Linked DNA regions of Arabidopsis thaliana. The main gene of each other region encodes a partner of the protein of the gene in region 2 in a complex. Each region holds a gene or a part of one and is shown on either strand. Other genes may lie near its edges. A codon is read from its position in the direction of its gene.

The links.
Region 1: the proteins of VSR1 (region 2) and CRA1 are in contact, whole or in part, in a crystal structure (PDB 7F2D), measured with the Arabidopsis thaliana proteins. Residues at the interface, in NP_190853.1 of Arabidopsis thaliana: Arg95 (codon at 4,167), Gly96 (codon at 4,164), Cys98 (codon at 4,060), Tyr99 (codon at 4,057), Phe100 (codon at 4,054), Leu125 (codon at 3,979), Ile126 (codon at 3,976), Thr127 (codon at 3,973), Met128 (codon at 3,970), Asp129 (codon at 3,967), Thr130 (codon at 3,964), Pro131 (codon at 3,961); in NP_199225.1 of Arabidopsis thaliana: Arg468 (codon at 892), Val469 (codon at 889), Ala470 (codon at 886), Ala471 (codon at 883), Ala472 (codon at 880).

Annotation. Positions count from the first base shown.
Region 1 is NC_003076.8:17,755,586-17,760,478, forward strand, and holds CRA1 (RmlC-like cupins superfamily protein), read right to left. Parts: upstream 2,752-4,893; 5' UTR 2,662-2,751; coding exon 2,361-2,661; exon of another isoform or gene 2,357-2,360; intron 2,238-2,356; coding exon 1,972-2,237; exon of another isoform or gene 1,848-1,971; coding exon of another isoform or gene 1,842-1,847; coding exon 1,395-1,841; intron 1,280-1,394; coding exon 875-1,279; 3' UTR 653-874; downstream 1-652. Other genes in the region: ABCI21 (P-loop containing nucleoside triphosphate hydrolases superfamily protein), read right to left, coding at 1-87. UniProt on the Arabidopsis thaliana protein: Seed storage protein.
Region 2 is NC_003074.8:19,585,600-19,592,447, reverse strand, and holds VSR1 (vacuolar sorting receptor homolog 1), read right to left. Parts: upstream 4,693-6,848; 5' UTR 4,450-4,692; coding exon 4,161-4,449; intron 4,063-4,160; coding exon 3,370-4,062; intron 3,098-3,369; coding exon 3,009-3,097; intron 2,890-3,008; coding exon 2,820-2,889; intron 2,727-2,819; coding exon 2,643-2,726; intron 2,469-2,642; coding exon 2,392-2,468; intron 2,293-2,391; coding exon 2,211-2,292; intron 1,790-2,210; coding exon 1,707-1,789; intron 1,616-1,706; coding exon 1,549-1,615; intron 1,287-1,548; coding exon 1,158-1,286; intron 1,066-1,157; coding exon 953-1,065; intron 854-952; coding exon 758-853; 3' UTR 501-757; downstream 1-500. Other genes in the region: AT3G52860 (mediator of RNA polymerase II transcription subunit-like protein), read left to right, coding at 117-232, 316-450; BGAL2 (beta-galactosidase 2), read right to left, coding at 6,351-6,462, 6,546-6,751.

The DNA.
Region 1 (4,893 bases), on a different chromosome or scaffold from region 2:
GAAAATAGGATCTTGAACATCGTAAGAAAACTGCATTCCACTAACCCTAATTGCACCGTCCACCGCGCTCGCATTTTTCTCCGCCATTTTTTCCGATCAAAGAGTCAGATAGAGAGAGGGAGAGATTAGTAAGTAGTAAAGTATAACTCCTCTGCTTAATCTGTTGGCCTTTAAATACGTTCCGTTTTAAACAAAGACCTTATTAGCCATTAGATTTCGGCCACGTTATGTACTTTTCTGTCCATTAGATTTACATACTTTAGTCTTCCGCTAATACGTTTAACCAGCAGATAGCTGCCACGTCACTCTATGTTGCTCACCGACAAAGAATTAAAACGACGGCGTTACGTCAGTTTTCATTAATAAATCTAATTATTAATTTAAATAATAATATATGGTAAATATGTTTACAAGGTCCCACAAATTATTTATTTATTAATTAGATAAAAACACTGTTATTTTATTGAAAAAATTATGCACGGATTAAATTAGATATTTGAAATTAAAATTAAAGCATTTGATGTATTATAAATAGATAAAGAAAATGAGGTAATATAAATTTGTTAAGCATGACAATATTTTGGCGACTTGTCTAATGTTAATATTGGATTATTATATAAAATAATATGATGATTCAAATGTATTAAATCATAAAAATCAGAACTAGTCTCTATGATTAAGAACCTAATTTAGACCTAGATTTGTATTAACTTGATCGAAAATTGAAAAGATTTTATTCAGAAAAGGAGTTGCATTTTACAGGTAAACCTCAACAAAACTAGTCACATTTTCGTACATTATTATTATTACTACGTACTGTTTAACTTCCTTTTACAGTACTCGAGGTTCATTGTTAAGCTGCAGTTTTAAGCTCTTAAGCTGCAGCCACCCTTGGCCTTCCGTAGCTAGCTGGGCCACTGCTGTGAGTCAAAGTGGTCTCGAGCGTGTTGAACTTGACCCTCCTTGCTTCTTCGGGTGAGATTTGGAACCCATTGGTTATGACTTCAAGTGGTAAACCTCTCAAGACTGAGGTTCGTCCCGCCAGAGTGTTGATTTGCGCGTTAGCGTTTGTTTTGAACTCAACCCACTGGAATCGGTTGCTTGTTGCGCGTTTCACCACCGAGAAACCTTGTGGTACGGCTATGAGCTGTCCTTGAGAGACTTGTCCGTCAAACACTCTGTTACCATTGTCGTTTACGATCTGGATTTGGGCTTCCCCGTCTGTCACGTAAAGAATAGCGTTCGCGTTTGCGTTCCACTGTGGAAGCACCATTGCGTTCTACACCCACACACGTTTCAAGAGTCATGTTTAAATATAGAAATGGACATATTAACATGCATCAGGCATGCATATTTTACTAGGTTATAGTAACATAATATTTATGTTTACTTACTTGACGGATAGATCCACGGAGGGCTGAGAGACGGATGAAGCGAAGGATGGGGAGATCGTAACTGTTGAGAGTGCTGATGTAACCGAGCTGTGGCTTGTACACGTCAGCACGAGACGGGTCATCGAGGTTATCGGTGCACCTGGCGCTGCAGATGGTCTCCTCTAAGCCATTACCGTGTCGTCCATGTCGTCCTTCTTCTTCTTCCTCCTCCTGAGGTCTCTGGCCCCTCAAAGGCGGCCTAATGACACCGAACGGTCCTTGGACTCGGACAATGTTTCCACGGTTGTCATCTTGGTTCTGAAGTTGCTGTGCTGTCTGAAGATCGATCTTCAAAGCTTGAGCAATAACCTCGGGTCCAAATCCATTGAAAATGTTCTTCTGTGGCTGTTGCTCTCGTCCTTGTAGCCATACTTGACCTTGTGGGTTGTTTCCGGCTAAGTAAAATGGCTTCATTCATAAAATACCAAAAAGAATAAACCATATTATTTTTGTTAATTTGTAATTAATATAATGATTCTTTTGTAATGAGGTTTTGTTATATATATATATATATATATATATATATATATATATATACCCTTGGGTTGCGGTCAAGCTGGTTCTGGTGACTGGCTAGATCGAAGACGCTGACGATGACAAGTGGTTCCTGTCCGTCGTTGTAGAACCACTGTGCTACACCGGGTGTTGTGGCAATGGTATCACCGCTCCTAATGTGCTCCACTTTCTGGTGCATGTCACGGAACCTCTGGCTTTGACCTTGACCTTCGAAGCGTGGTTGGAACTCTGATGAGTCTTGGAATGTTTCGGCGCATCCAGGGATCACTTTTCCCATAAGACCTCGTCCTAAGAATGTAACACATAAATTATATAGGTTTAATTAAAGTTGAAAGATTATGGACTAATCCTAAAGAGCATGAACCATAAAGTCATGAATTCGAATTTCGATATAGAAAGAGTCGTACGTACCCTTAGCCACGAAAGAGAGCTTCGCGGTGTTAAAGAAAGAGGGCAAGTAGAGACCCTTAGACTCGATGATGTAACGTGCAAAGGAGACACCTGAGCAACGGAGCTGAGGAGCGTGGTGGTCCCACACCTCGATGCGACCAGCCTCGCTCTTCAGTACGTGTGACGGCTCGAGCGCATTGAGCTGGTCGAGCTGGCACTCGTTCGGAAACTGCTGACCCTGCTGACCCTGTTGAGCCGCGTAGCCATGGAAAAGGATCAAAAGTGTTAAGCAGAAAGAAAGAAGAGAAGAGACTCGAGCCATTTTGTTATTTCTTATATTTCTTACTTTTTGTGGTTTCTCACTTGCATTATGTGAAGCTATTTATAGGGAATTTATTTGATATTTTTCTATTAAAGTTGTTGAGGATAAATTGAATGAGATAAGAACCAGGTATATAGAGTCGACTATGTACAATTTACACTTCACTTAAATTGCTATTTATGACTTCATCCGAAAATGAATTTTGGCTTCACTCTGTAAAAAATAAATGGAGTTGACACATTTCAATTTGCATGGCTTATTCAAGTGCATGTTTCTTACACATCAGCTTTTGAGATAGGCACATTGTATTTGTAATAGGACAAATCTTTATTTTATTATATACAGCGGTTTCATTTCTCTGTTTTTGTATTTGTAATAGGTCATATTGTTTATTTTATTTTATTATCGTAATATATATATATATATATATATAAAACTGTCACATACGAATTGAGAAAATGTTTTATGTTACGATTACGAAAGTCTTTGATGATCAATTATTGATACGTGCAAATGATAAAAAGTTTATACGCATTATTAGATAATGGTAAACTATAAAAAGACGATCGAGTGAAAAGACGTGGCGACAGGAAACAGCTGAGACACACGTGAGAGATGTGGCGGACGCGACGAACATGCTGTGAGACGAGTGTACGGTTGCATGTTGTTCATCATCTGATCTCCCACAGTTTTTAATTTTTTTTGTTGAAAATTTAGTTTCTTGAGATTTTTTCCCCTTTCAGATTTATATTTTTCAAAAGAGTTCTTTCCCTTTGAAAATTCTTTCATATGTAGATACATGTATATATATGAAATTGTAAGTTATTCTAGTTTATCTTTAGTTACATTGTATTGAGTTAAAAAAATCTTCAGTGTTAAGAGTGAATAGATCTTACAAAACGTTGTATATACATTATGTTTTTTATGCGGATTTAAACGCTATATGTATAGCATAATTTTTATCAAATTCTTTTTTGTTAAGGCTGATTTTGTTATTATAAAGAGAGAAACAATGAAAACTTAAAACTATGAAACTCCAAATTGTGATCAAAATTGACTAGAATATATATCTTTTATTGTGCTTAGGTCTAGTTTCTAATGGATCTATATACAAGATTACAAGGTAGCATGACAATAATAGGTAATGGATTATATATATACAAGGTGGCCTGATAGTCTAATAGCCCAAGCGGTACATCTCCATGGTCCAGTATTGGACGCTCTATGTTTGTTCAATTCAATTTTCTTGTGCTCTTCAACTACATGCCGTTTGGCCAAGAGAAAAGCATCATGTACTTTTATAAAGGGATATTGAGAGCAACACGAGATATATGCTTCACATGTAAATGACGCTACACCAAGAATCATTTATGATAATTAAGTTGATACCTAGTAGTTTCTAGACTATTTTATTTGCTTCTTGTAACTGTGAGAAAAAATCTTTAAACCGCTTTAACAAACTTTTTTGTATCAAACCCAAAAGGCCATAACCAAAAAAAATAAAATGTGTCAAACAATTGTTTGGTTGATTGCTAACTGGTGAAACGGCTCGAAATCATCGGTTAATAACTTTTTATTGTGACTGCCTTAACGTGTTTTGAACCGATTTAACCATTTAATCAAACCGACTAAACATTCTACCAAAACAAATTGTTAAGTTGAATGCTGATCTTCAAAACAGTTGGTAATCATCGATCAAAAGGGTTCAAACAAATAAACTATTTTTTTGGATCGACAAGGTCCGATTTATAGACAATTTTTACTATATAGGATAACACAATTTAGTGGAATCGAATTCCAGTAAAAAAAACATAATCAAATAGACTTAACCACTTGACTAAAAGCATATTCCCGATAAATTAAATTTTTGTGATCACAAATTTACAAAATATATTTTCTTCCTTAAACGACCTGTTAATGTCATAATATAACACTACATTATACAGAAAAAAATATAAGAATTCCACCATATGCCAACTTGTTCATCCCAGGCTGTCACTTAGCCAGCCTTGTACTTTTGTCCATTGAATTTCTTCTTTTTGCACCATACAATGAAACAAACACTTACATTTCACATACATGTCTACATCTTCGTGTGTACAATGTATATATGAATAGCATCTATATTTTTGTATTCACGGTAATGTCAACATATTACAATAGGCGAATTTAGGGGATTATCTCTATAGAGGCTATCTAATTTACAATTATGCTTCAACTCGCTTTTTCTTA
Region 2 (6,848 bases):
GTTTTTGTGCTTAACTTATGATCTCAGTGAATTTTGTGCTTAGAATTCAGTTGAAACCGAAGCTTTGATTCCATATTCGATGTTCTAGCTTAATTCCCCTCATTGAACTGCTGCAGTTGATGTGGAGCGGCACGCCAGAGATTTCATGGAAGCTGCGAAAAAGCTTCAGCTTTACTTCATGGGACTAAAGCGAGAAGATCGCGCGCCCTCGAGAGCTGAAAGCCTTAAGAAGGTGTGGTTTGATTTACCAATGTGAAAACTCCAAACACATATTGTCTTACCAGTTTCTGCTCTCTTCTGTTCTGTTCTTAACAGGATATTGCAGTAATGGAGGAAGAGCTTAAGACAAAAGATGAGCTTATAAAGAAGCACATGAGGCTTTTCCAAGAGTCGCAGAAGCTTGTGAAAGAACAGATTGAGAAACACAGAGATGAGCTGGAGAAAGTTTAACAATCTCTCAATCAAAGTTTATTGTTTTTCTTCTTATGGATCTTAAGTTAGTTTCAACAGTAAATAATGTAACACTCATTATTCATCCAGTTATGTCTATTTTACATTGTAAGAGTAATATGCAGACAAAAAGGAGATTCCATCTGCAAATCCACATTTCTTACAAATAGTGCAGGTACACTTATTTCTGTTTGTGGCTTTTTTCTTTTCTCTAGAGTTGTATCAAGTCCATTGATTCATTTACATGGAAACTTAAAGCTACTCATAGAAAGAGAGAGAGTCTCTTGGCTTGTGTTGATAACTTCACTCATATATCCATATGGTGACCACTTGTGTTGGGTGGTTGACTTTCCAATGGCATGTACTGTGCCATGATCCCTCTAATTTCCGCATCCATGTAACTCTGCATAATTTCAATTGTTACTTAGCATCTCTATCTAGACCGCAAAATCTTCCTATGTTTTAATATGATAACAAGACCAGAGTAAAGAACATCGTATACCCTGATTCTGTATTTGTAGACTGCATATCCAGAAAGACCTGCAACACCCACCCCGATTATAAGGATCCACAAAAAGCTCCAGCTGAGTTTTGTGGTTCCAACTTTGCCTGAACCTACACATTCACCAGATTCAAAAGCAGAAAGTCTGATTAATGACTCCAAATTAAGTATGGGGCTAGGAGGAAGGAAGATCTATTTCTTTTACCTATGCAAGTGTCGTGCTCACGCATGTAAAGCAAACCGTTGCTGCAGCTGCATTCATAACTTCCCCAAGTGTTTTTACATTTACACTCTGGGCACTGGCACACCGTTTTTTCTTTGCACTCGTCCACATCTAACACATTCAATCAAAAGAATATGATTATGAATTTGAATTTGACGTTTAACAATGATCTCACTTCTTTGATTGAGTACAATAAAAAATTCCACTGATAATTGTGTATCTGCACTAAATATTCTAGACCGACATGCATGCATATAAACAATAGGCTAATAGCATGTTACTAGTGATGCCTACTAAATAAATCGACATAGAGCTCTTTATATATGCAAGTAGACCACATGCATATATTTTGTAAATAATACTTAGCAAGTACCTTCACAGTTCTTCACTCCATCGCCCTTGAACCCAAGTGGGCATTTGCAATCCTTTGAATGATCATCCTGAAAAATCCATTTCAAGAACGAAAGAAGTTTTATTTTAGGTTAAGAAGATGATTGTTCAAACACATTGACATAGAAGCGAAATACTTACTACGCAAGCAGAGTAAGTGAAGCCACCTCGGGATTCTCTCCAGCATCCTCCATTGTTGATACCACAATGCAAAGCTCCAGAGGCTGCCAAGTGAAATAACATATGGATACAGAAAATGCACATTAACAAAGATTATAGTAAGACAACTTATGATATACGCAAAGGGGAAAATTCAGTAGAACTGCATAAAAAACATTAGAATGTTTCCACTCAGTCACATCAACGAATTTCTTCAAGTGTAAACTTTTTCAAAGTAAAATTTAATCAATGATTGTGACAATTTTATTTATCAATCTTGATATTATACTCGCAGGTGGTACAAATCAACAAATAGACCATCTAAGTTGATTCCAAGAAAATATCGACAAGGGACAAATCAGAGTATTGTTTGACTACCAGTAACAAATACTTGTGGAATACAGAAGCTAAGCAGAGGGTATGGCATTGTTCTGTATCTTGTTCCACACAAAACATGTTAAGCTACACAAATAAAAAATAATTTACCTTTGCAGTGAGTGTAACCGTCACCAACGAATTTAACACCTTGAACAGTAGGGCACTCACACAATCTTCCCCTAAAAGTATCCTAAAATGCCGATTCATACCAAATAAGAGTAATCAGTCATAGTAGCAACAACAAAACCAAAAGTTAGAAAATGAAAAGAATAGCATGCCCAAATGATACCCTGCATGCAGTAATGTTGGCAGCTTTGTCTTGCCAGCATCCACCGTTGTTTTCCAAACATTCATTAGTTTCCAAATCTGCAAAAATCAGAAGCATGTCTGAAAACTATCCTTCTCTCCCATGATATAAAACAATAGATAAAGAATTAAGGATAGCTCTAATGCAAGTTTTGAAAATATATATTGGCCTATCAAGAGAACTGTGGTTTCTGTTAAAAAAAATAGAGTTGCAAATGTCGTGGATAATAGTACCTTCAGTAAGACAGATAGCTGGTTCCGTTGACTCTTGAAAACCCGAACACATAGCCTTAAGCACTGCCCCCTTTTCCAATTTACCTAAAAGCATGAAAGATAATTCAATTAGCAAAAACATAAGAAAGATGCTGTAGAAAGGGAGGAAAAACTGACAAGTCAACATTTCCCCAATACCTCTGTATTGTCTGTTGTTCACGACAAGAGTTGGGAGTATAGTCACGTCTCCACGGGAACCTTTGCCTATCTGAAATTGAAGTAGACTCATTTTAAGAACACCTCGAGGAATGGAGAATATATGGCAACTTAAAACCAACAAGATCTTGGGAAGACGTGTAAGAGCCAATTAGTTACAAAAAGGCAAACCTGTGACTCCTGCTCTGCTTTAAGAACTGGGTTCTCCACATCTGCTTCAGGGTCTCCGATACACTTGTCCACCTTTTTGAGATCAATGCCTGAATGCATATATAGCTGATAGTCAGAAAATTTAGGATGAAATGCACAAATTTGAAAGTAACAAAATATCCACTTGGTGAATATAAGGATTCAAGAAGGCCATACAAGGTAAGCTCATTTAAATCAATCAATTGGTTGTTCTATATTATGGATGAGCTGATATCTGAAAATACTATTCAGTTTCTAGACTAATTTCTAGCCACAGGTAATATGTTAATTAAATGATACCACAGGAGCAAATACCATCGAAGTAATGAAGCATTATACTCACCAAGGGACTTAATAATTCCATCTGCGCATTCCTTGGTGTACTTCTTCTCCTTCATTGGACACCGGATAGCAAAGTCAGTCACATAGTCCCACCAGACCCACGGCTTACCGGTATCATTCATCACTCTGTAGACACAAGCCTGACGTAGATTCTGAACAACAACATCCTTTCCATCATACCCTTTCGTAAAATCCTGCTCAGGATCAGGCGCACAATACCTTCCATGGTTGATGCACTGAGACTTACACTGTTTACTCAACGTAAACGCTTCAGGACAGTACCAAGTAATATAATGTGGCGTGAACTGAGTATGCCCACCTTTCTCAAGAATCTGAGCAGCTCCTTTAAAATTCTTGAGAAACTCAATCTGAGTATCACACTTCTTCCCACACTCGTCATTGCTATTAGTCCACAGTTCATACTCTACACGCTCATCAGGATGTGGAACCGACTCAGTCCAATCTAGCTTCATGTTAACCATATCACCACCGGAAAGAGCAGACTTTATACTGTCTCCCAATGTTTTAGTAATGAGAGCAGAAGGAATGGTAATGTTCTGAAGATAATCCGCATCAGATTTATCTTCTTCAGGTGTATCCATTGTAATCAATGGCTCAGCTTTACTATCAGCTACAAGTATCGCTGCTGCTCCAGCTTGTTGAGCTATCCATGCTTTCAAAGTGAAGTAACAATCTGAAAACAAAATTCAGTTCCAAAATTGAATCAAAAACAGATCTTTTGAATACCCAATTAAGGGAACAACTAAAAAGGTAAGAACTTTGAAATCGAACCTCCACGATCGATAAGGACAAAAGTTGGTAATCGTCCAGGTTTGGATTTGAAGGAGATATCGAAATCGGAGTAGCTTTTACAAGCTTTCTGATTGGATTTAGGATAGACGACGGTGCCGACTAAAGTACCACCGTATTGAGGAACTCCGAAATTACCAATGGCACATTCGTAAATACCTTTGATCGAATCAGGTGATGTAACTTTGAGATTGTTCTTCTCAACAACGAATCTACCCATTGCTAGATTCAAGATCAGAAGAAACGAGAGAGTGAAAAGCCCAAGCTTCATGATTCCAAGTTCCTTCCTTTACAACTTAATACCCAATCGATTGAAAGTGATAAAAGGTAAGAGATTTAAGCTCACACAGAGTAATGGATTCAAGGGTTTTGGGTAATTAAGTAAGATCCGAAACCCTAGAACGAAGAAAGCTAGGCGAAATGTACGAAGCTTTTTGTTTTTGATTCGTGTGAAGGAAGTGAACAGAGTTATTAGATTTAAGAGTCTTCTAAGTTAAGGAAGAGAAGAAAGAAGATTTAATCTAATGGATAAATTATTAATGGTGATTAGGATTAGAGATTCATGAATGTTAAGAGTTAATTAATTATTTTAATTTAGGAATGGAGAAGGGTTTATCACTTTATTGAATTGTTCTTCTTTGTCGTTTCCGGAAACGTGGATATGTAAAAAAAGAGTTTGTACAAATTGAATAAGAATCTAAGAAGAGTAAACGGGAAACACGTGTGGGCAATCTTTTAATCTGACGGTACTGAAAAAGAAAATTCGTGTTTCATCTGATGTGATGCTTTATCTGAGAGGTGGATTTTTTACCATACCATAAAAAATGTTGATCAGAGCTCAAGTGAAATAACTATTCAAAAGATTGGTAAAAAAGATTTGATGTTTTGGTTTATTTTGTGAATAGTTATTTCATACACTAGGAATACATTATTAGAGCATGGATACATGTAACATTCTTCCACAATGAGCCAATAAATGTGACTATATCTATACATGACAATCTATGCATGATTTTGTAAACCACACAAATGCTTGCTTCAATTGGCTGTTCTTTTTACAAGAGAGATCCCACTTGGGTCACCACCACCACATTCATCAAATATAGGTTTATTATAGTTTGATACTTGTGGGAGATTATAATGAACATTTATGGGGTGATAGGGATTCTAGCTCTAGTATGTTGCAAGTAATAGAGAGAGAGCGAGTAATTGTGCCGGCATCTACATGTATTAGGTCATGAGGGATCAGATGATAATGATGATGATGATGGTGAACAAGTAGATGGTGAGGAATATGGAAGTGACCAAGGTTCTGAGCAAGATGAAGTCGCCGATGAGGTTGATGCTTTATCTATTCATTCTAGATTTTGTAACTATCTTTTCTCCATTTCCAAACGAAATCTTTGATGTGTAGGTTGCTCCAAGAAATAGATTTGGGGATGTTCCCTTGGAGTGGTATAAGGATGAGAAACATATTGATTATGACATCATTGGGAAGAAGATTACCAAGAAAGAAATGCGAGATAAACTAATGATGACTCCAAGAATTGGTCAGTTTGAAGACTTTTCTGTTTATTTTTATATATAGTTTGTTATTTAGTTGCATTATGGTGATGCAATTTATGGGGCTTAGGGGCAAGATTCATGATGAATATAATGACGAGGAAGTGGAGCTGACTGAAGAGGAGAGAAAGACCATTCGTAGAATGATGGAACATGCTAACTTTTATCCATATGTGGTACGTTATGTGGTTTAAGTCTAGCCGTTTTTCTACTAATATGTCACTTAAAATGTGACCTTTTGATTGATTCTCTTGGTGCCAGCTTTATGTTGATTGGTTCAAATGGGATGATGCAATACATCCACTCTCAAGTGCAGAACCCAATCCAAGGTTCATCCTTTCAAAATGGGAGGCTAAAATGATTATTAGTTACGTTAGAGCAATCAGGAAGGGGTAGTTGATCAAGCCTGAAGAAGAACCCCTCTTATGGGGTGATTGAGATTGGCTTGTTTTGGTCTATTGTATAAATATTATTTTATACAATTGTAATACATTTTTAGAGCAGGATACATATATATATAATATTCTTCCACAATGAGCCAATGAATGCAACTATATCTGTACATGACAATCTCTGCATGCTTCCGGAAAAAATTTGAAGTAAGAAGCTTCATTTGGCTGTCCTTTTAACAAGAGAGATTCCACTTGGATCACCACCCCATTCCTCAAATATAACTAGAAGGTTCCCAAACGGTTTTAGCCATGAACGAGGTACATGGTACCTAAAACATTAATAAATCAATCATGTGAATTAGATTTTAGACCAAATAAGAAGAAGAGAAGGATATTGTTTCTTTTTTCTCACCATCTTTGAGAAGGTTCACCACAGTGACTGAGACATTTCTTCTCGTTGTAAATTCCAGCATAGTTGCAACGTCCACAGTTCCCACGAGCCGTGTAGGCAGGCCAGTGGCGTCCAATGTTATGTCCATTTACCCAAACTTGACCTTTCCCCATTGTGTTCATGTCCAAAGCCAGTGGTTCGTTGCCTCTCGGTGTATCAAAAGAAGACTACAAATAGAGACAACAAGAATCCGATATGAATCTATATCTTATATTATGTTCATAATTTCAATAACATCCATAGTTATAATTCATCACAAAAACC